Linked DNA regions of Saccharomyces cerevisiae S288C. The gene in region 1 interacts genetically with each later gene. Each region holds a gene or a part of one and is shown in the gene's direction. Other genes may lie near its edges.

What was found.
Region 2: mutations in IPP1 (region 1) and ALG2 together harm fitness more than expected from each alone (negative genetic interaction), as found in Saccharomyces cerevisiae (one large-scale study listed by BioGRID).
Region 3: mutations in IPP1 (region 1) and SOM1 together harm fitness more than expected from each alone (negative genetic interaction), as found in Saccharomyces cerevisiae (one large-scale study listed by BioGRID).
Region 4: mutations in IPP1 (region 1) and ATP22 together harm fitness more than expected from each alone (negative genetic interaction), as found in Saccharomyces cerevisiae (one large-scale study listed by BioGRID).

What each region holds. Positions count from the first base shown.
Region 1 is NC_001134.8:256,612-261,989, reverse strand, and holds IPP1 (inorganic diphosphatase IPP1), read left to right. Parts: upstream 1-4,014; coding exon 4,015-4,878; downstream 4,879-5,378. Other genes in the region: YBR012W-A (gag protein), read right to left, coding at 799-2,121; HHT1 (histone H3), read right to left, coding at 5,249-5,378.
Region 2 is NC_001139.9:378,134-384,103, reverse strand, and holds ALG2 (GDP-Man:Man(1)GlcNAc(2)-PP-dolichol alpha-1,3-mannosyltransferase), read left to right. Parts: upstream 1-2,832; coding exon 2,833-4,344; downstream 4,345-5,970. Other genes in the region: pseudouridine synthase PUS2, read right to left, coding at 1-450; MRH4 (ATP-dependent RNA helicase), read left to right, coding at 896-2,581; deubiquitination module subunit SGF73, read right to left, coding at 4,522-5,970. UniProt on the Saccharomyces cerevisiae protein: Mannosylates Man(2)GlcNAc(2)-dolichol diphosphate and Man(1)GlcNAc(2)-dolichol diphosphate to form Man(3)GlcNAc(2)-dolichol diphosphate.
Region 3 is NC_001137.3:40,511-45,097, reverse strand, and holds SOM1 (Som1p), read left to right. Parts: upstream 1-2,473; coding exon 2,474-2,698; downstream 2,699-4,587. Other genes in the region: SDD1 (Sdd1p), read left to right, coding at 1-78; phosphoacetylglucosamine mutase PCM1, read right to left, coding at 173-1,846; HHY1 (Hhy1p), read right to left, coding at 2,138-2,446; PRB1 (proteinase B), read left to right, coding at 3,145-4,587. UniProt on the Saccharomyces cerevisiae protein: Non-catalytic component of the mitochondrial inner membrane peptidase (IMP) complex. IMP catalyzes the removal of signal peptides required for the targeting of proteins from the mitochondrial matrix, across the inner membrane, into the inter-membrane space.
Region 4 is NC_001136.10:1,174,589-1,180,900, reverse strand, and holds ATP22 (Atp22p), read left to right. Parts: upstream 1-2,726; coding exon 2,727-4,781; downstream 4,782-6,312. Other genes in the region: SBE2 (Sbe2p), read right to left, coding at 1-2,235. UniProt on the Saccharomyces cerevisiae protein: Translation factor specific for subunit 6 of the mitochondrial ATPase. Required for assembly of the CF(0) component of the ATPase.

The sequences.
Region 1 (5,378 bases):
CGACGGTCGTGTAATGGATAAACCCAACGGAATTTTGTTGTCTCATCAGTAAATGAGATGAAATAGGATGGTGCACTTTTTGGTAGGTTGTGAACTGGACCAAATATGTCAGTATGTAGGTATTGAAAGGGTTCGTATGAATTTTGGTATTTTAGTCGTGAACCTTTGATATGTCTGTGTTTGGTGCTTTTGCCGATTAAACAATCAGGACATTGATAGTCAATAGCACTAGACCAGTCGACATCTGATTCGTTAAAATACGTGATGGTGTTATTTTTAAGTGAGTATCGAATTGTCTGTGCATTGGCATGCGCAAGCATTCGATGAATGAAAGGATAAGGATATTTGCGTGTACTTTCACTTGTATGGACATTATTGATGGTGGGTACGGAGATATTTGATGGAAGCAAGTACTTTTTAGATACCCAGTAAAAGTCTCCATATTTTACGATAGGTGCAAGTACAGTGCCGTCAGATCGTTCTAAGACGTTTTTGGTAAAGCATGCTGTGATATCTACTGCAGCCAATTCATTCAAACTGAGTAAGTCATAGGCTATGTTAGGAGTGTGCAATACCTTTAATGATGTTTTGGTGTTGTCCTGGAAGTGAAATTGTAGGTCACCAATAGCGTTAATTGGTATATTTCTTTTTTGAGCATCAACTACGTTTATGTCAGGATTAGATGATGCTGAGTGTATGTGATGAGCAGATCTTATAAGGGTTCGTGATGCTCCTGAATCGAGAAGGAGGTGTCCAGGGAGTTCATCATCAGAATGATTAGTATGATTTACTGTAGATTCAGTAAGTTTCTGGCCTAAGATGAAGGTCGTGCTTATTGTTCAATTGAATCGGTTCAGTAGTTGATTTACTGATGGAATCGTTGTCCGTGCTGGGAGAGTTATTAGATGTGGATACATTGTGAGCCCTGGCTGTTTTCGATTTCGAATTATTTGTTTTTTGAGGATTCCGAGCTATAACTTTGGGTTTGGTTGTATTCGTATAGCTGCGAGAATCATTCTTCTCATCACTCGGATTTCTCCTGTAATTAGGTTTGCTGTTTCTCGATCCCTGTTGTTCTTCATAAATAGCATGGATATCTAAGAACAGTTCAGCGACTGTCATATTTAGATGTCGATGACGTGTGTAGCGTAAAAATTTATATTCGCCAGATAGACCTCTCATAATTAATTGACATGCGACCTTGTTATTGATATGAATGCCATTATTGTTCAGTCTGTCGATAATGTTTGTGACTTTTGTTTCAAATGCATCTGCAGGTGTACTGCCATTATATTGCAAATTTGCCAGGGTCACAATGTCGTTTGCCTCTTGGGTATCAGATTGCATTTTTTCAATACTTTTGGAAAGAATTTTCATGATATCCGTATAATCAACGGATAGGATGTCTTTGACCCAGGTAGGTAGGAATTGAGAGGGAGCAAATATTTGAAAAGCGTTATACAAGAAGGTGAGTTCATCATCAGTGATCGGACGTACGGGTTTTCCGTTTACTGTCGGAATAATACCACCGAGATTCGAGTTTTGTAAAAATTTGATGTATGTTTTAACCCAATTTGGAAAGTCATTAGGTGAGGTTAACATTGGTGGTGGTCTGACATATTTTTTAGTGGATGTCATATCAGAGTCCGCTGAGGATGAATCAGTAAATGTATTACCTGACTCAGGTGATGGAGTGCTCAGAGGCGTTCCAACTGATGATGGATACTGCGGAAACTGTGATTGTGGCCCAGGTGGAAAGTACATAGGCGACATTTGATAAGGTGTATACGGAATCATAGATGGGTGTCCGTAAAATGACCAACCAGATGGATTGGCTTGGTTTTGGGTCATCATGCACTGCTGTGGGTACGGCCCATTCTGTGGAGGTGGTACTGAAGCAGGTTGAGGAGAGGCATGATGGGGGTTCTCTGGAACAGCTGATGAAGCAGGTGTTGTTGTCTGTTGAGAGTTAGCCTTAGTGGAAGCCTTATCATATTCTTGAATTTTGGAAGCTGAAACGTCTAACGGATCTTGATTTGTGTGGACTTCCTTAGAAGTAACCGAAGCACAGGCGCTACCATGAGATATATGTGGGTAATTAGATAATTGTTGGGATTCCATTGTTGATAAAGGCTATAATATTAGGTATACAGAATATACTAGAAGTTCTCCTCGAGGATATAGGAATCCTCAAAATGGAATCTATATTTCTACATACTAATATTGCGATTATTCCTCATTCCGTTTTATATGTTTCATTATCCTATTACATTATCAATCCTTGCACTTCAGCTTCCTCTAACTTCGATGACAGCTTCTCATAACTTATGTCATCATCTTAACACCGTATATGATAATATATTGATAATATAACTATTAGTTGATAGACGATAGTGGATTTTTATTCCAACAATTACTTTAACATGAATAAGCTCAAAGTAAGCCAGAACAATTACCTACAAAGAAGTGATTTCTATAAATTCGAAAGAAACGGCACTGAATGGGAATATATATTTGCATCAAATTCAGCTTGTCTTGATTATAATAATAATACAGCTGTTAATAATGATATAATTTCGTCACTTAATTATTGCATCAGTGATGACAGATATTATGAAACTGCAGCGATGTGTGTGGTTTTGAAATTATCTCAAGATTGCTCTTTTGATGTGAGGCTTCAACGAAGTGGAAATGGGCCATATAAGAATATCTGGGATATGCCTTGCGGAGAATTACAACAACACATTGGTTACAAAAATGGTATATGCTATAATAGTGAAAACACGGTGTTATCGGCAGTAGGTGTAGAACATCGATATCATAAAAGTGTTTCTCGTCTATAAGATAAATTTGTTGGCGGTTATAGTTCGAAAAAGTGTATTGGACATGTTATAGATCAGAAAAACTTGGATAAAAATTGATAAAAGAAAAATGAACCACAATACCTTTACATAGTATTTTAACTCATTATCCTCGTGAAATATATATATATATATGGATATATATGGAACTTTGTTGGAATGAAATTTTAATATCATCTATTTCGCAGCACTCATGTTACTATTATATCACATGCGGTGTAAGAGGATGGCATAAAGATTGAGAAACAGTCATCCAATCTAATGGAATGCACGACACAATAATGAGTGACAACATATAAAAGGAAGTAAGATACAATAATATTATTATGTATAACTATCGATTTCCTTTTGTGGATTCCTATATCCTCGAAAAGAACTTCTAGTATAATCTGTGTACCTAATATTACAGCCTTTGAAAACAATGGAATCCCAACAATTATCTTATTCCCATAATTCTCATATACAAGATACAAGGGAGAAGTAAACAATGGATACAAGGAGAAATATGGCGCTAAAGGCTGATTTAATTGGATTGTTCGATTCGAAGTCGCTCAATAGAATTTGATGGCTCCCTCAGAGTGCGGTTCAAATCATTCGGATACTTTGAAGAAAGGGTAATATATTGTACCTTTGAACATGAGTTCATGAGTTGAAAAAGGTAAAAATAATCTGCTAAAATGATTACTCTTCTCTAAGAATGTGGTCTTCCCCACCCACGTGATAGTAATACATAGGAACCGTTTTACTGAACGCTACATTACCCATCAATATAATATCATGATTTAGCCGCCGAATTTTATGTAACTAAAAGGTTGCGGGACTTTGAAGCCCAGGTAGAAGTGTTTCATTCACAGAAGGAGATGCCAATGTGCTATTATTATCCCTGTGTGGCGCACTATTCAAACGGATTTGACTGTTCTTCAAAATATCGTCATCGCAGACGCTAAGGTTGTTGGGAGAAGCCACAGTCATTAGATACGATAGTCTCATGATGACTTTTTCTCGTTTTTTTTCGACGTTTTAAGGTCGCGTCGAAGTTAGGAAGGTTAGTTCATTTACAACTTGTTTTTGAATACTTACTTTCTTAATCATCTATTTTGATTTGTTGTCCCTTAGGTCTATAGAACAGGATATCCCGCCGCGCAATTTACTAATGACCTACACTACCAGACAAATTGGTGCCAAGAACACCTTGGAATACAAAGTTTATATCGAAAAGGATGGTAAGCCAGTTTCTGCCTTCCACGACATTCCCTTGTACGCTGACAAGGAAAACAACATTTTCAACATGGTTGTTGAAATTCCACGTTGGACCAACGCCAAGTTAGAAATCACCAAGGAAGAAACTTTGAACCCAATCATCCAAGACACCAAGAAGGGCAAGTTGAGATTTGTTAGAAACTGTTTCCCTCACCATGGTTACATTCACAACTATGGTGCTTTCCCACAAACTTGGGAAGACCCAAACGTAAGCCACCCAGAAACTAAGGCAGTTGGTGACAACGATCCAATTGATGTGTTGGAAATTGGTGAAACTATTGCTTACACTGGTCAAGTCAAGCAAGTTAAGGCTCTAGGTATCATGGCTTTATTGGATGAAGGTGAGACCGATTGGAAAGTTATTGCCATTGATATTAACGATCCATTAGCCCCAAAATTGAACGACATTGAGGATGTTGAGAAATACTTCCCAGGTCTGTTGAGGGCTACTAACGAATGGTTCAGAATTTACAAAATCCCAGATGGTAAGCCAGAAAACCAATTTGCCTTCTCCGGTGAAGCTAAGAACAAGAAGTACGCTTTGGATATCATCAAGGAAACACATGACTCCTGGAAACAATTAATTGCTGGTAAGTCTTCTGACAGCAAGGGTATTGATTTGACCAATGTTACTTTGCCTGACACCCCAACCTACTCCAAGGCTGCCTCTGATGCCATCCCACCAGCTTCTCCAAAGGCAGATGCTCCAATTGACAAGTCTATTGACAAGTGGTTCTTCATCTCCGGTTCTGTTTAAAATATTTTGAATTGAAAATGAGACACCTACCACGTATGCGGCTTCAAGTTGTTTAATATGTAGCTATATATCGATTATATAACTGACTCATGAATGAATATCTTCCTGCTGCAATTTTTCTTTAACCACATGGAAAGCCATAAATCTTGCCTCCTACAAGGCCTGGCTTTTTTCGAGGGTATCGCCAGGAAAAACAAATCAATAAATGTAAAACAAATAGAACCCTATTTTTTTTTATTAAAACCTATATTTTTGTAATAAAAAATAACTATTATACAACTGTTAAAGAACCCAGTAAACCTAAATATATTGATTTATATTTTATTGTGTTTTTGTTCGTTTTTTACTAAAACTGATGACAATCAACAAACTATGATCTTTCACCTCTTAATCTTCTAGCCAACTTGATATCCTTCTTTTGGATAGTGACACGCTTGGCGTGAATGGCAGCCAAGTTGGTATCTTCAAATAAAGAGACTAAGTAGGCTTCGACAGATTCT
Region 2 (5,970 bases), on another chromosome or scaffold:
CAGGAACGTATCCCACACCTCTTGCGAGCCGTCTTCGCGGTAGCATCCCCCCACGTTTCGATGCAAAAGAGAACTCCGGGGTGGACCAATGAGTATAAATTCTGGGATAAGGTATTGGTACCATCGAGAATCGCACGCGGATCTAGCATTAAACTTTTTATTGACAGGCTGGATACCCCACACGCGTATTTCGGGCGGTAGTGCGGCGTTTAACTTCGCTACTGTGTCCTCTCGCAATGTGATCTTTAGCGACAGTAGATTCAACATAGCGTGTACACCCTTGTCTGTTCTTGCCGCTGCCATAAAGGAATTTTTCTTCGGTGCCAATGAATTTTCTTCGGAAATGGCTCCTACGTCGAAGAGCTTGGTGAGAATCTCACCTTCAATCGTCTTGTGTGGTGGGTTGTATTGCATTCCATAGTATCCGCTGCCACAGTAACCTAAGAGCATAACGACCTTATGTTTACTCGGCCTTCTCTTTACTACCGCTGTTAACGGTGTCGGAGTAACCTCATCACTAGTACTACTACCATTTGTACTGAGCAGAACTGTTAATAAATGCTATGTTCACATCGATATATATACATATGTGTGTAAGGGGCTACAATTCATACATACGAGTATCTCTTTATTCTCTGGCCTGTAAATATTTGTCTTAAAACAGAGCTAGTCTTTAATGCCGTCTTTTTCATTTTCTTTTCTCGATGGGTTCTATTTCGCAATACAACCGCTCTTGCACAGCACAACCAAACCATATTCTTGAAATTTTCGAAAGGAAGCAAAAGTTCAAATCACTTACCACGGAATCATAAATTACAACTATAATAATAGCGGAATAGATATTAGTGATGAGTAGAAATACTTCTTCAGATCAGATTAAAGTATAATAAGACAAATGTCGCTTTTTTTCAAGCCAGTAATTTCACCACAGTGGTCTTTCCCCGTGCTTCTCAAGATAGGAGTGCGTTCTTATGCGGGAGGCCCAAGAACAAAGCATAAAGGAAACTCTCCATTAGCTTCAGTGCCTACAGGCAGTAGTAATAAAAACCGAAAACAGAAGGCCAAAGGCAAAAAAGGTAACAAAAAGAATGACCCTGACCAAGCATTCAACTTTGGAGAGTATGGTGGATTGAAAAAAGACGTCGAGATGAATATGGACAGTACGAATAAACTCATTCAAAAAATATCGAATTTCGACCAATTGCTTATACTTCCACCTGTCAGAGACGCTGTGAAAGAAATCATTTCCAAAGAGTCCCTGAAGCTACAAGATAGTAGGAAAAAAACCAGTGAAAATATAATACCGAGTCCCATTCAAACAGTGGCCATTAAGAGAATATCCAAAAATTTAATGGATCCAAAGTTACAAATACATGCGATTGCCGCTGAGACAGGTTCAGGTAAGACCATGGCCTACTTGATACCTTTAATAGACTATTTGAAAAGACAGGAGTTGGAAACTCCCGAATTATGGGAAACATTAAGAAAAAACGTTCTGATTCGGTCCATCATACTGGTGCCTACGCATGAATTGGTTGACCAAGTATACGAAACTGTTTCCAAGACGAAAACCTTGTTAGGCTTAAACTCTTTCAAGTGGGACAAGGCCACATCATATCGTGATTTATTAGAGAACATTAAAAATAGAATAGATATTTTAGTCACTACTCCGGGAAAACTACTGAACCTGTTCTCCATAAGAATGATAACTAGACCTGATAAAGTCTTGTCCAAAGTGGGTTTCGTAGTACTAGATGAAGCTGACACACTTCTAGATAGGTCATGGCTTGAAGAAACGCACTCCGCAATAAAGAGAATTCCTAACATTAATCACCTTATTTTCTGTTCCGCTACTATTCCTCAAGAGTTTAATAAAACAATGCAAAGACTATTTCCTACAGTGGTTCCTATAATGACACCCAGACTGCATAAGTTACCATTCGCTTTGGACTTTAAAGTTATAAATTCTGCCTTAAGTCCTTTCAAGGGATCCAAGATCAAAGCATTGGCACAAACTTTATATGCTATTTCAAATGATGACACGGAACCAGGGTTCGAGAAAAGATGCATTATCTTTGTTAACGAAAAAAAGAATGTTCCTGAAATTGTTAACCTATTGAATAAGAAATTCGGTCATAATGCCATCGGTTTAACTGGTGAAGATACATTTGAAGAAAGATCCGAGAAAATTATGCCCTTTTTATCACCACCGCGACCACTTTCGGAGGTGGTTGCTCAGAGTACTTCACCTCCCACTTCCTTGAAGAAATTTGAAATTCCTGATTCCAACATCGTCATCGGCAAATTGAAAAACACAAATTCTAATGGTACCGCACCCAGTAACAAGTCTTTGCATGTACTCGTAACCACCGACCTCATGGCAAGAGGGCTCAATTTCAAAGGTGTACGGAATGTTGTTCTCTACGATGTACCCAAAACGTCAATAGACCTGATACACCGAGTGGGCAGAACTGCTAGAATGAAACAGGGCGGCCGCGTATTTATGCTAACTGACAGTAAAACAAAATCTTGGGCTAAAGCTCTTCCAAAGATCATCAAAAAGCACCAGAGATTATCATGATAAATGTATATTCTTGTAAATATTATAACATATATACGAAAGGGTCACAATCACAGATACAATTTATAGATCGAGAGCCTTGCGTATAGCTTCTTTTTTTATAAACAAGTGCCTGGCTAGATGAACGCGCGAACAACAAAATAAATGATGTATTCATTTTAACATCAAAAGATTACGTTCGCCATTTAAGAAGTCACGAAATAGATACAGTAGTAAAGACAGATAAAAAAGAGTCGATTAGACAAGCAAAAATGATTGAAAAGGATAAAAGAACGATTGCTTTTATTCATCCAGACCTAGGTATTGGGGGCGCTGAAAGGTTAGTCGTCGATGCAGCATTAGGTCTACAGCAACAAGGACATAGTGTAATCATCTATACTAGTCACTGTGATAAATCACATTGTTTCGAAGAAGTTAAAAACGGCCAATTAAAAGTCGAAGTTTATGGTGATTTTTTACCGACAAACTTTTTGGGTCGTTTTTTTATTGTTTTCGCAACAATTAGACAGCTTTATTTAGTTATTCAATTGATCCTACAGAAAAAAGTGAATGCGTACCAATTAATTATCATTGATCAACTGTCTACATGTATTCCGCTTCTGCATATCTTTAGTTCTGCCACTTTGATGTTTTATTGTCATTTCCCCGACCAATTATTGGCTCAAAGAGCTGGGCTATTGAAGAAAATATACAGACTACCATTTGACTTAATAGAACAGTTTTCCGTGAGTGCTGCCGATACTGTTGTGGTAAATTCAAATTTCACTAAGAATACGTTCCACCAAACGTTCAAGTATTTATCCAATGATCCAGACGTCATTTATCCATGCGTGGATTTATCAACAATCGAAATTGAAGATATTGACAAGAAATTTTTCAAAACAGTGTTTAACGAAGGCGATAGATTTTACCTAAGTATAAATCGTTTTGAGAAAAAAAAGGATGTTGCGCTGGCTATAAAGGCTTTTGCGTTATCTGAAGATCAAATCAATGACAACGTTAAGTTAGTTATTTGCGGTGGTTATGACGAGAGGGTTGCAGAAAATGTGGAGTACTTGAAGGAACTACAGTCTCTGGCCGATGAATACGAATTATCCCATACAACCATATACTACCAAGAAATAAAGCGCGTCTCCGATTTAGAGTCATTCAAAACCAATAATAGTAAAATTATATTTTTAACTTCCATTTCATCATCTCTGAAAGAATTACTGCTCGAAAGAACCGAAATGTTATTGTATACACCAGCATATGAGCACTTTGGTATTGTTCCTTTAGAAGCCATGAAATTAGGTAAGCCTGTACTAGCAGTAAACAATGGAGGTCCTTTGGAGACTATCAAATCTTACGTTGCTGGTGAAAATGAAAGTTCTGCCACTGGGTGGCTAAAACCTGCCGTCCCTATTCAATGGGCTACTGCAATTGATGAAAGCAGAAAGATCTTGCAGAACGGTTCTGTGAACTTTGAGAGGAATGGCCCGCTAAGAGTCAAGAAATACTTTTCTAGGGAAGCAATGACTCAGTCATTTGAAGAAAACGTCGAGAAAGTCATATGGAAAGAAAAAAAGTATTATCCTTGGGAAATATTCGGTATTTCATTCTCTAATTTTATTTTGCATATGGCATTTATAAAAATTCTACCCAATAATCCATGGCCCTTCCTATTTATGGCCACTTTTATGGTATTATATTTTAAGAACTACTTATGGGGAATTTACTGGGCATTTGTATTCGCTCTCTCCTACCCTTATGAAGAAATATAATGTCTACTTAAATAAATAATGTATACCCCCCGAAGAAAAAATAATTTACATTGGAGAAGAAATCTCTAAATGCAAATAGCGTAACTTGTCCACAAACATAGACGTGTACATGTTACTTCGGCGAATAATTTTTTATTACTCACTTCGTGAACATGCTGGATAACGTGCATGATTCAATTAATTTATTCTGCCATTGTAGGGGTTCACAGAATTTCCAATACCTACTTCAATTCTCCCGTTATTGCCAGAGACATTAATACCGGTAGATACACCTTGCCCGGAGCCATTGACGCTGTTGACACTAGGGGGAGATTGGATACTATTTACGCTAGTATTGGGAGAGCTTATGGAGGCTTTCATCGTCATGAGGTTATTGTTACCGTTTTTACTACTATTATTGTTGTGGGTGCCAGATAAATGGCTATCTTGATTTGATTCTTGCATTAATTTGGTAGCGTTGGCTAAATATGAAGCAGCAGCTTCAAACTTCTGTTGTTGTAGTTGTTGTTGTCGTAGTTTTTGTTGTTGTGATTGTATCTCCAGCGGCGTGAGACCTGTGTCTTGAGACTTGTGCTGCTGCTGCTGCTGCTGCTGCTGAATTTGCTTGCTCGACACATTGGCATTAAATGATGAATTCGTTGCCCCGCCGGGGAAATGATTGGGCACCATACCTTGAGTAGGTTGTTGGGTACTGGCCTGGGCCTGCGCTTGGGGTGAGTGATGTTGCTGCTGCTGTTGCTGCTGTTGCTGTTGTTGAGAAAGAAGCTGAGCCTGTAGAGCTCTCTGTTGTTGTAGTCTTTGTATTTGTTTCGGATTGAGGTTTTGGTTTGTGAGGTGATTAATTGGCTGTGGAGTCCTAACACGAAATTTGTAATCTGTTGTTCTATCCAAATCCAAGCATCCTACACGAGAATGGATCGCACCGTAACCTGGAGATGTATATCCTGGTTTCACAGAAAAGGAGGAAGCAAACATTTCCCTCATTCTAAAATATTTAGTCCTGTATCTAACTGACGATAGTACCGTTGACTCTAGTGGCAGTGGGAAAGATCGGGATACCCCATTTAGAACCTGTGTTGTTTCCTCTTCAGGAGTTAGGTTAACGTGTCCTATCTCATTGATATTGTTACCATTGTGTACAGTACTCTTACCACCATTTTTGGCTGATTTCCCACCATTCACATTTCTTTGCTTAGACCTTTGACCTTGTTTCTGTTGCTGAGTATGTTTTTTCTGCTCTTTTTGTATCTGCTTTTGTAATTTTTGTAATTCTTGTTGCTTAGCACGTTTCTCAGCAGCTGCACCAATTTTTGTTTGATGTTCTCTATGATAATCTGCTAGCAAGACGTCGTAGGGCTTGGAACGACCAGAGACAGCCCTCTTTGCACCCATTGAATGGGACTTACATGTCAGCGAACGTGCACAGTAACCACCTTCCGGCAACTCTACACCACACTGTTTGTTGAAATCAATTAAATGCTTTTCAGTTGGGTTTCTTTGTTTGACTTTCTTTTGTTTTTTTATGGAAGAGCTGAAGGTTTGAGGAGTCCCAGTTTTCGATCTTTTCGTGTCCATATTTGGTGTGTTCGCAGATTCCATAGATGTGGATCTTTTCAAAGGGTTAAA
Region 3 (4,587 bases), on another chromosome or scaffold:
AAACGACGAAAAAAATTGAAGAGGAAAATTTTGTTTATTTCCACTACCATGAATTTCAATTACCAAACCAAAGTCTAAGCCTGTAACAAACGTTGATTGATACCAATATTTTTTCTCTTTCATTTATCTCTCTGTATATCTAAATAGCTATACTATACATCGAATAATGCTTTCAAGCAGATGCCTTAACGTGCTCCACCACTTCGTCACAAAATTGACCTAACTTAGAGGAGTCCTTACATTCCGCATAAACCCTCACCGCATCCTCCGTACCACTGGCTCTGACAAAGCTTCTTCCCATGGGATACTTGGCTACCACAAGATCTATCTTGTCTTGCAACCCCACTGGATTGAGCAATTTTCTTTCCTGGTCCGTGGTTTGGAAAATTGACCTATCAGGAACGATGCACTTAACCAGCTTGTTGGGCAAATCAGTATACTCTTCATCCCAATCCATTGGCGACATTTTCAAAATCGCCAAAGTAGCAAGGACAGCAAGCATGTCTGAAATAGCATCTCCCACGGTCTGATTAATCAATTCAGAGAAACACTTCAAAGTTCTCAAAGCTAACGTATCACCATTTAACTTGGACTTGGATAATTCAGATTTGATAGTTCGATGAAATTTTTCGCTGAATATAATCGTACCATGTCCATTTGCTTCGAAATAAATGCCAATATCGTACTGAGTGGCAGCTTCATGATGCAAGTGTTTAACACCTGTCTTAGTGCAAGACACGGGACAGTGCAACGTATTTTTTATGTAAGCGGTGGAACTGCCGTTTGCATAGGCAGTTTGCACAACACCAATCTTCAAAGAATGTTCTAGGTGTGCCAATTCTAGTTGTTTAGACAAGAACTTTGCAAACAAAGTGGAAATTTTGTCACCATCCAACAAATGAAATTTTGATCCTGAGTCGACATAGTAGAACACAACCCTGTCTGCGTCACCATCAAAGGAGCAATATAGCGAATCAAACGAGGATGGAGAAAGACCCTTGGGTAATCTCTGGTTAGTCTTCACATAATCCGCACCGCATTCAAAATTCAACAGTTCTGGAACATCGGACCTGTCGTTGATTACCTCAACTTGCTCCGCTGGCACGTCCCAATCTTCGGAGGCCAGTAGTTTTTTCAACTGTGGACCACCGATACCATTGGCTGTGTCTATGAACAATTTTGGGACAGACAGCCTCTTCTCCAGCTGATACGTGGCGAAGAGCTCGTTGAAGGCTCCTATAAAGAACGAATAGTAGTCCTGTTCTGTGGCAACTGGCGCTGTGTCTCCTTCCAGTTTCCGCCTGTTGGACAAATCAGTAATGTAATGCAATTGAGGCGTAGTGACACAGCCTAGGTCCAAAACTTGCGCGTGGAAGACGCTGGCCATGGAGGAAGTCAAGCAGCGCAGCAAGTATGGACTACTTTCCCTAGAGTCTCTCCCAACCACGATGTGAGGCACGACGGTTGTATTCAAATCAATCTTTTCGTGTTCAATCAGCTTGGCCAACTCAACACGAAATTCTTCAAAATTAGTGGCAAAAGAGGCCGCATTGGCCAACTGCATGGCATATGGCTCCCATGTGGCCAAAAGCATCGATCCGTCTGGTTCCACGATCTTGACCCCGTTGTCCTGGTATGGGTTGTGCGACGCCGTGATCATCACCCCCACATACTGACCCTGAAGCTTCAGCGACCTGAGAACCGCCAGTATACCAGTACTGAACATCACCGTATCCAAATTCTTGGCCAGCGTTCTGAATCCGGCCGTACCGTAACTGAACTGCACATTCTTTGTGCGGCACGTGTCATCGTAGAGTTTGCACAATTGCTCGTAATCAACCTTCATCGTCTCTAAGCTTACTGCTGACCTTTGCCTTGGTCCTTGTACTTGTCTCGATTGCTGAAACCATTAACGGTTTTTTGTTCTTACTTAATCTTTTTTTTCCCGACGACGCAAAATGTCAGAAAAGATATAAATAGAGCAACGTTTCCTGCTACATGAAACACGCTGGCATATAGAAGAACTTCAACGAGCGAGGCTCTCTGAACAATCTGCTAATCGTGCAAGTAAGGGTTCTCGTGACAGTTCACCGTGTATAAACAGATAAACAGATAAACAGTCAGATATGCTTAATTTTTAACTGTAGGCTGTGCCGACATGCCATTTTATGCGGCTCACTTCTAACAAAAGTGACCATGACGCACAAGCAAGCAAACAGCCAAGTAAGGAAGCAGACAGCTTCACAGCACACACACACCGTTGTGTACGAAAATCCTCTGCAGAAGAGTGTATATGCCACTCATCCACACTTCCGCAGCGCAGTACGTAATGCGGTATCGTGAAAGCGAAAAAAAAACTAACAGTAGATAAGACAGATAGACAGATAGAGATGGACGAGAAACAGGGGGGGAGAAAAGGGGAAAAGAGAAGGAAAGAAAGACTCATCTATCGCAGATAAGACAATCAACCCTCATGGCGCCTCCAACCACCATCCGCACTAGGGACCAAGCGCTCGCACCGTTAGCAACGCTTGACTCACAAACCAACTGCCGGCTGAAAGAGCTTGTGCAATGGGAGTGCCAATTCAAAGGAGCCGAATACGTCTGCTCGCCTTTTAAGAGGCTTTTTGAACACTGCATTGCACCCGACAAATCAGCCACTAACTACGAGGTCACGGACACATATACCAATAGTTAAAAATTACATATACTCTATATAGCACAGTAGTGTGATAAATAAAAAATTTTGCCAAGACTTTTTTAAACTGCACCCGACAGATCAGGTCTGTGCCTACTATGCACTTATGCCCGGGGTCCCGGGAGGAGAAAAAACGAGGGCTGGGAAATGTCCGTGGACTTTAAACGCTCCGGGTTAGCAGAGTAGCAGGGCTTTCGGCTTTGGAAATTTAGGTGACTTGTTGAAAAAGCAAAATTTGGGCTCAGTAATGCCACTGCAGTGGCTTATCACGCCAGGACTGCGGGAGTGGCGGGGGCAAACACACCCGCGATAAAGAGCGCGATGAATATAAAAGGGGGCCAATGTTACGTCCCGTTATATTGGAGTTCTTCCCATACAAACTTAAGAGTCCAATTAGCTTCATCGCCAATAAAAAAACAAACTAAACCTAATTCTAACAAGCAAAGATGAAGTTAGAAAATACTCTATTTACACTCGGTGCCCTAGGGAGCATCTCTGCTGCTTTGGTCATCCCAAATCTTGAAAATGCCGCCGACCACCACGAACTGATTAACAAGGAAGATCACCACGAGAGACCCAGAAAAGTGGAATTCACTAAGGACGATGATGAGGAGCCATCTGACTCTGAAGATAAAGAACATGGAAAGTTCCATAAGAAGGGCCGCAAGGGCCAAGACAAGGAGTCTCCGGAATTCAACGGTAAACGTGCAAGTGGCTCTCATGGGAGCGCCCACGAGGGAGGAAAGGGCATGAAGCCTAAGCATGAAAGTTCCAATGATGATGATAATGATGATAAGAAGAAGAAGCCTCACCATAAGGGTGGCTGCCACGAAAATAAGGTGGAGGAGAAGAAGATGAAAGGTAAGAAAGTCAAGGGCAAGAAGCACCACGAAAAGACGTTGGAGAAAGGGAGGCACCACAACAGGCTGGCTCCTCTCGTGTCCACTGCACAATTCAACCCAGACGCGATCTCCAAGATCATCCCCAACCGCTACATTATAGTCTTCAAGAGAGGTGCCCCTCAAGAAGAGATCGATTTCCACAAGGAAAACGTCCAGCAGGCACAACTTCAATCCGTAGAGAACTTATCTGCCGAAGACGCTTTCTTCATTTCTACTAAAGACACCTCCTTGTCCACCTCTGAGGCTGGCGGTATCCAGGACTCATTCAACATCGATAATCTTTTCTCCGGTTACATCGGTTACTTCACCCAAGAGATTGTCGACTTGATACGTCAAAACCCATTAGTAGACTTTGTTGAGAGAGACTCTATTGTCGAGGCTACAGAATTTGACACTCAAAATAGCGCCCCATGGGGGTTGGCCCGTATTTCCCACAGAGAGCGCCTCAACCTGGGGTCCTTCAACAAGTATCTCTACGATGATGATGCCGGTCGCGGTGTCACGTCCTATGTTATTGACACGGGTGTCAACATCAACCACAAGGACTTCGAAAAGAGAGCCATTTGGGGGAAAACCATCCCACTTAACGACGAAGATCTCGACGGTAACGGCCACGGTACCCACTGTGCCGGTACTATCGCTTCCAAACACTACGGTGTCGCTAAAAATGCCAACGTTGTTGCGGTGAAAGTCTTGAGATCAAACGGGTCTGGTACCATGTCTGATGTCGTCAAAGGTGTCGAATATGCCGCAAAGGCGCACCAAAAAGAAGCCCAAGAAAAGAAAAAGGGGTTCAAAGGTTCCACAGCCAATATGTCGCTTGGTGGTGGCAAGTCCCCAGCTTTGGACTTGGCTGTTAATGCAGCCGTTGAAGTCGGTATTCACTTTGCCGTGGCTGCTGGTAACGAAAACCAAGACGCTTGTAATACCTCCCCAGCTTCTGCTGACAAGGCCATCACCGTCGGAGCTTCCACGTTGAGCGATGAC
Region 4 (6,312 bases), on another chromosome or scaffold:
ATTGCTATTCAAACATCCGCCATTGAATTCATTTTTGAACTCATCTTTTCGTAAAAGATGGGCAACAATTCCTCTGGGATTTAATATTCTTGAATCGTATTTTTCCTTGCAAATTTCACTGAAGCACGTCATCTGTATCAAGTTGACCATTTCCCATGTTTCCTTCAAAGTCCCAAAAGATTGATCAGTTAAAAAATGGTAGAATAGCATCTCATCACCAGTAACCAAACCTTGTTGAGATATAGATTTCAGTTGCAGTAATAGCATCAAGTCAGAAACCACTTGCTTATCTGTTCCATTTTTATAAAAAACCTTTTCCTGTACATCGTGTTCAATAAGCTGTCTTATTTCAAATTCTTTATCTTTGGGAAAATCCATTTTGTTGAGTAGCTGCATTACTTCCTCAAATGATTCAATAAAACATTTTGTTATCAAGCAATTGTCACTTTGTAGAAGTTGACTATATATTTGAAGCCGTACTTTAGATATCAAAGGTGTTTCCCAAATAATTTTCTTTAATTCACTTAATGACGAGTTACGAGTAATGCCTCGGTCCAGTAAATGCTGGAATTTGACCTTATTCTGCTCATTCTTTTTGGCTTTTTCGTCACGTTCTTTATTTTTTTGCAACTCTTCCATTGATGCTAAGTCGATATTTTTGTAGATTTGTTTATCTTGCAATTTCCTCTCTTTGAAATCCTTGGGCGGGAGCCAACTCGGACGGAAATGACTTACGGCCTTTAGTTTGTCCTCTGAAACTAGCATTAGGTCTTCCATTCCCTGACTACTGGCTTCTTTAAATTCCAGTGGTAAACTCTGTACAGATCTTGAACGACCAGAAAGAATACTTTTGGAGATTTTTTCGGAACTATGCAGGTATATTTGGGAGAGATTTTTCATTGTATCCTGGATGTACTGTGAATCAGACACAGGAGATATACCAGGAATGCATGTTGGCGGAAGCTCCTTATAGTCCAGACATGATTCTTTTAAAGTGTTACTTGAATTTGATGTATGTTTTCTAGTACTATGAACCTGATGGAAAGTTTTGTCCACACAGAGAGCCGAAGATGAGTGTTGTTTGCCTTCGCAATTGTTCTCCTGTATTAATATCTCTTCATCCCCCCGCGCTGAATCTAAACTCATTTCTTTTCTATTAAACTTAGATAATGTTAAAAAAGAACTGGTCGATAAAGATGCCATTGGAATGTTCCAAATTAACGAGCCGTCGACATCGCCCTCTTGAAGTTCCAAGTTAACGTCTTGATCTTCATAAAATTTTTCTTTCATTTTTATGGCTTTACGCAAAGATTGGTCATTTTGCTCTTTCCTTAAACGGTAACGTTGAGAAGGAGTAAGTTGGGTTGTTTTATATGGTAATATTACAGAAGTACTATTGGAATGCACATACGGCGTTTTTGTGATCGGCATGAGTTTTGGTTCTTGGATAGTTGCGGTACTCATGCAATGATGTTTAAGAGGAGAGTCATTCTCGCTTATGAATGAAGTTTGTGATGCGGCTATACTGTTGGTTGTATTGCTCGATCCAGGCAGCCCTACTGTCCTGGAGAGTTTAGGAGTTGACACCGAATTTTGACGAGATGGAATGCATGTAGTTATGGTACTCATTGAGCAGATTGTTTTATCAGCGCTACTTGCTGTACGTGTTTTCTGTAGTATTGATCCCGGTCGGCTTTTCTTTAAGGGCGTAATATTGCTTCTATGGTCAGCTTCTCTCATACTTTTGAAGAAGCAGTTATCCTCCATCTTACTGTTTGCTATTTCACCCTCTTCTGAGCTTATATCTGATGTACATAAAGAATCAGATGTCGTATTTGAGTGCGATGAAGAAAATATCTCTGTGCTCGATGTACCTATAGAATCATCTGATATTGGCCTAATGCACTTCGCTGTGGGTACGTGTGGATTATTATTACCTAATACATTTTTAACAACATCTTGGCTAGCGAAATTGAAATCTAGGTTGGAGCTAGGGCGTCTTGTTCCAATATTCTTTCCGTTCGAACCTGTAGTGCTACTGGATGCACTACTGCCTGATCGGGATTTAGACAACGGAAGGCTGCAACTTTTGCGTTCGGTATATTCTGAAAGCATCAACTCCTTTGTGGAAAACTTCTTAGGTTGATTTTGTTTCAGATGCGTTGAGTCCTCCTCCTTTAAAGGGTCTAGCTTAGACGTATTAGGAACTATATTAATCAAACGACGTGCTGTCATACAATAAAATTGAATGTCACAGAAAGCTAAAGAGCTGAAGTAAAATAATGAAGCAAAGGTGGAAGCCCGAAAATAAAGTTAAAATTCAAAGCTTGTAACGAACGTATGAATGAAAGCACTAATTGAGAAAAAACTGAATTTTGTCAAAACAGCTCTATGTTTCAGAATGATAAAAAGGAGAGTTAAAAATACAATGGACAGTGGAATACAGCCAAATGCTCGATAGCTTTCGCAGAAACAGTACAATTAAAGATCAACACTTGTATTCTAATTATAGCAGGATCGATGTTACATCTCTTTTGCTCTCTAATCGGAGCTGAAAAAAAAAAAAAAAAGCGTATATAGTGATCTACGCTGATTAACATTATAGATTGCATAAAAGGGAAAAAGGAATTACATGAAGATCTATTCTGCGCGACACACTTTATTGGCGTACTGGCAAGAATGGGCTTTCAAATCTTCCAAGCGTTCACTTTAATGTTCTTATTGGCATGTTAAAATGTATATGCCGTGTCTATTCCCAGCCTTTGGCTCAAATGGTCACTTCACCGCTGTTTAAACATATGGGTAGCGCAGGGACATACACAATTCTACCTATTACAAATCTGCGCCATTTATCTACGAAAAACTGTCCATTGAAAATTAAATCAAATCGTTCAGAACCTTTGCAGTTTGGCGATTTTGAACGACAGGTGCCATGTTCTAGGAAGAGCGGATCTTCGAAAAATGTTCAGAAGCGTTTATACGAGCTCCGACAATTGAAAACTGTATTAAGTGAGACTTTTGGAGTAACTGAATACGCCTCTTTTTTTGAATCTCTACGAAATGCCCTGCATATAAATAATTGCTCAGAAAATGAAAAGAAGAAACTTTTATATGATATCATTTTGCATCAACACGAGTTATACCCAGAGGTGGCAAGAAAAATTGGATTTTATCTACCAGGTGAGGTCCACAGATGGTTCTGGTATCATATTCCAAAATCAGAATCTTTTAATCACTATCTTTTTCTTTTGAAAAGTGATGTTCTTCTCTTTACTTCTAACTACTGTACGAGATTTACCAATAGGCTGATAAAAGGAACTGAGATGGAGAGGCAGTTAGCCACGTTCCAAATATTTTTGCATGATGAGACAAACATAAAATTTATAATGGAAAAAGTTCTGAAGTTGCATACATTTGACAGCTTAATCGCTCTAGTAAATGGCCTTGTTAAGGCGAAAAATTTTAGGTTCATTAAAGTATTTATTCAAGCTCTACTACAGAAGTTGGAACAGCACTGTTATTCTGGTAAAGATGGAGCAAAGCAAAAGAACCTGCGTTATGTCAAGTTCAACAATACCTTACTTTATTACCTTTTGAAAAGTGGAAATGTTGAGTTATTCATCAAAACCTTTCAAGAGGAACTGAAATTCATTGTAAGCTCAGGATTGCTTAATCACATTGATGGAAACGAACACATATTGAATTTTCCCATTCACCACTACTTGAATCTGCTCCGAATATCTAATAGGCAGGAGGAGCTTTTCAATGTAATTTCCTGCTTACAAAGCAGCCCACTGATGAAATATAAATTGTTCAAGGAGTTTTTAATGGGTGAATTAATTGCATCTTTTCAAGCCTTTCGTGACCCGAAATTGGTGTGTAAATATCTCCTCTCATCATACAGCTCAAAGGCGTCTGCTAATATTCTGAATGCCCTAGGGATTTGGGGGTGGCTCTATCATTCAAAATCAACGACTTTGACAGCTCCTACGTTAGCAAGAGAGCTGAAGAACAAAAATAATATTCTACCGAACACAATGCGAATAGGATCACCAGTGACTGTTCCAATTTTAACTGAACTGTATAGAAGCCTTTTATCTTCGAGTTCTGTTTCACTGGAAAGTGGTCAATTCAAGAATTGTCTTCTTGATTTATATTACAAGTACAAGAGTTTTCTTTCCGAGGAAGCTCATAAATACAGGTATTGGAGAAATGATACCGGAATCCTCAATGTTTTCCTAAATTATATTAGATTCCAAGCTCGTGAACCAAGGCTGGCCTACAATGTTCTTCTGGATTTTTATTCTCAACCTTTCGCCAAAAAAGTGGTTTTAACTACCACGCTATGTCCCTTTTCCATAGTAGCCTATAAAAATCATACATTAACGCAGGCTGAACTATCAGAATTGCTACAGGTGATGCATAAAAATGGGGTGCCTTTAACGTTTAAATTTTGTTCTGCAATGGTAATGCATTATGTCAAAATGAGAGACGAAAAAGGAGCACGCTCCTGGTACAATAAGATACTCTTCGGGGGCTTTGAAATCAGGCATATGGCTTTGATACAGATAATAAAAGACCAAGGCTGGCCGTTTCCCAAAAACTTTGACGAAACTTTACTGACGGAATTGGTGGAAAATAATAACATTAAAGAACCTACTGATAGCACCCTGTTTACTGACGAAGATATGTTCGAAGAAGATGGCAAGCCTAGATTTAATGATGATGATGTTAATAAATGTACAAATATTATAAGAGAGACGTTGAAAAGTCTAAATTAATATCCAGATGAGCACTAGTAAATAGTAAATATTCATTCATAGATAGTAATTTACCCATAAGTTATTAATACCTACAAAGTTTTTTCATAAGTTTATGAATATGTCTTCTTGGCCCATGGTTACTTTATTACCTCTAATACCTTATTTACTTTCTCAAATAAATGAGCCCTTGGATTTCATTTACTGAGAATAAAAAAAAGTACCGTGCTCGGCAAAAATGCTCCAGGGGAGGTTCGAACTCTCGACCTTCAGATTATGAGACTGACGCTCTTCCTACTGAGCTACTGAAGCTTTGTTTTGTACAGACGTTACATCTCAGAATGGGATACGTCAGCATGACAATACATTATCCTGAACGTTCATAGAACACATATGAAACCTAAGAAAACGAACAGATTGAGCAACATGAGGTAAAACTCCGCCTTCTATAGCTGGGCTATCTAAACGTATAAATGCCTGAACAATTGGTTTATGAGAAATGGGTGTATTTTGAGAGACTTGTTGGGATTCCATTGTTGATAAAGGCTATAATATTAGGTGTACAGAATATACTAGAAGTTCTCCTCGATGATATTGGAATCCTCTAAATGGAATCTATATTTCTACATACTAATATTACGATTATTCCTCATTCCGTTTTATATGTTTCATTATCCTATTACATTATCAATCCTTGCACTTCAGCTTCCTCTAACTTCGATGACAGCTTCTCATAACTTATGTCATCATCTTAACACCGTATATGATAATATATTGATAGTACAACTATTAGTTGATAGACGATAGTGGATTCTTATTCCAACAGTTTAGATCCAAGGTTCCGCGCTTCCACCATTTAGTATGATCCATATTTTATATAATATATAGGATAAGTAACATTCCGTGAATTAATCTGATAAACCGTTTTGACAACTGGTTACTTCCCTAAGACTGTTTATATTAGGATTGTCGAGACACTCCGGTATTACTTGAGCCCGTAGTACAGCGCAGGCCTCCAGAGTTGAATTATTCTAAATTCCTGAATAATAACAATTTTGCAGACAAAATTCAGGCAATAACTCAAAAGAGTAATCTTTCACTGCATTTAAGGCGCTAAGATTCCCGCCAAAAGTAGTCGTCACAAAAGAACGTATATAAAATGCACTTTCGAGCGGTGACAATGTGAGAAATAGGTAAATATTGAGACAATTGTTGGGATTACCCTGTTTCTCATCTTTTATGTCATCTTTTTACACCGTATATGATAATATGCTAGTCGATAGATGGTGGTCGATTCTTCTTCCTGTATACAAATATATGAGTTGGGGATGTATATTGCAAAGAGCTTGATTATGACACATTGCCAGACCAAAAAACAAATCTCTTTCTATAATGTTCCCAGGTGGGCTAATTTTTTAAATAACGACGGCAGTATATTGATATTGGAGAGAGTTGTATTTATTGTTCGATATTTATTTTGATATCAGCTTTATATTGTAAGTGTTCAATATTTTAATTAGTGTGTATTTTGTAACTTTACTGCCAATTATCA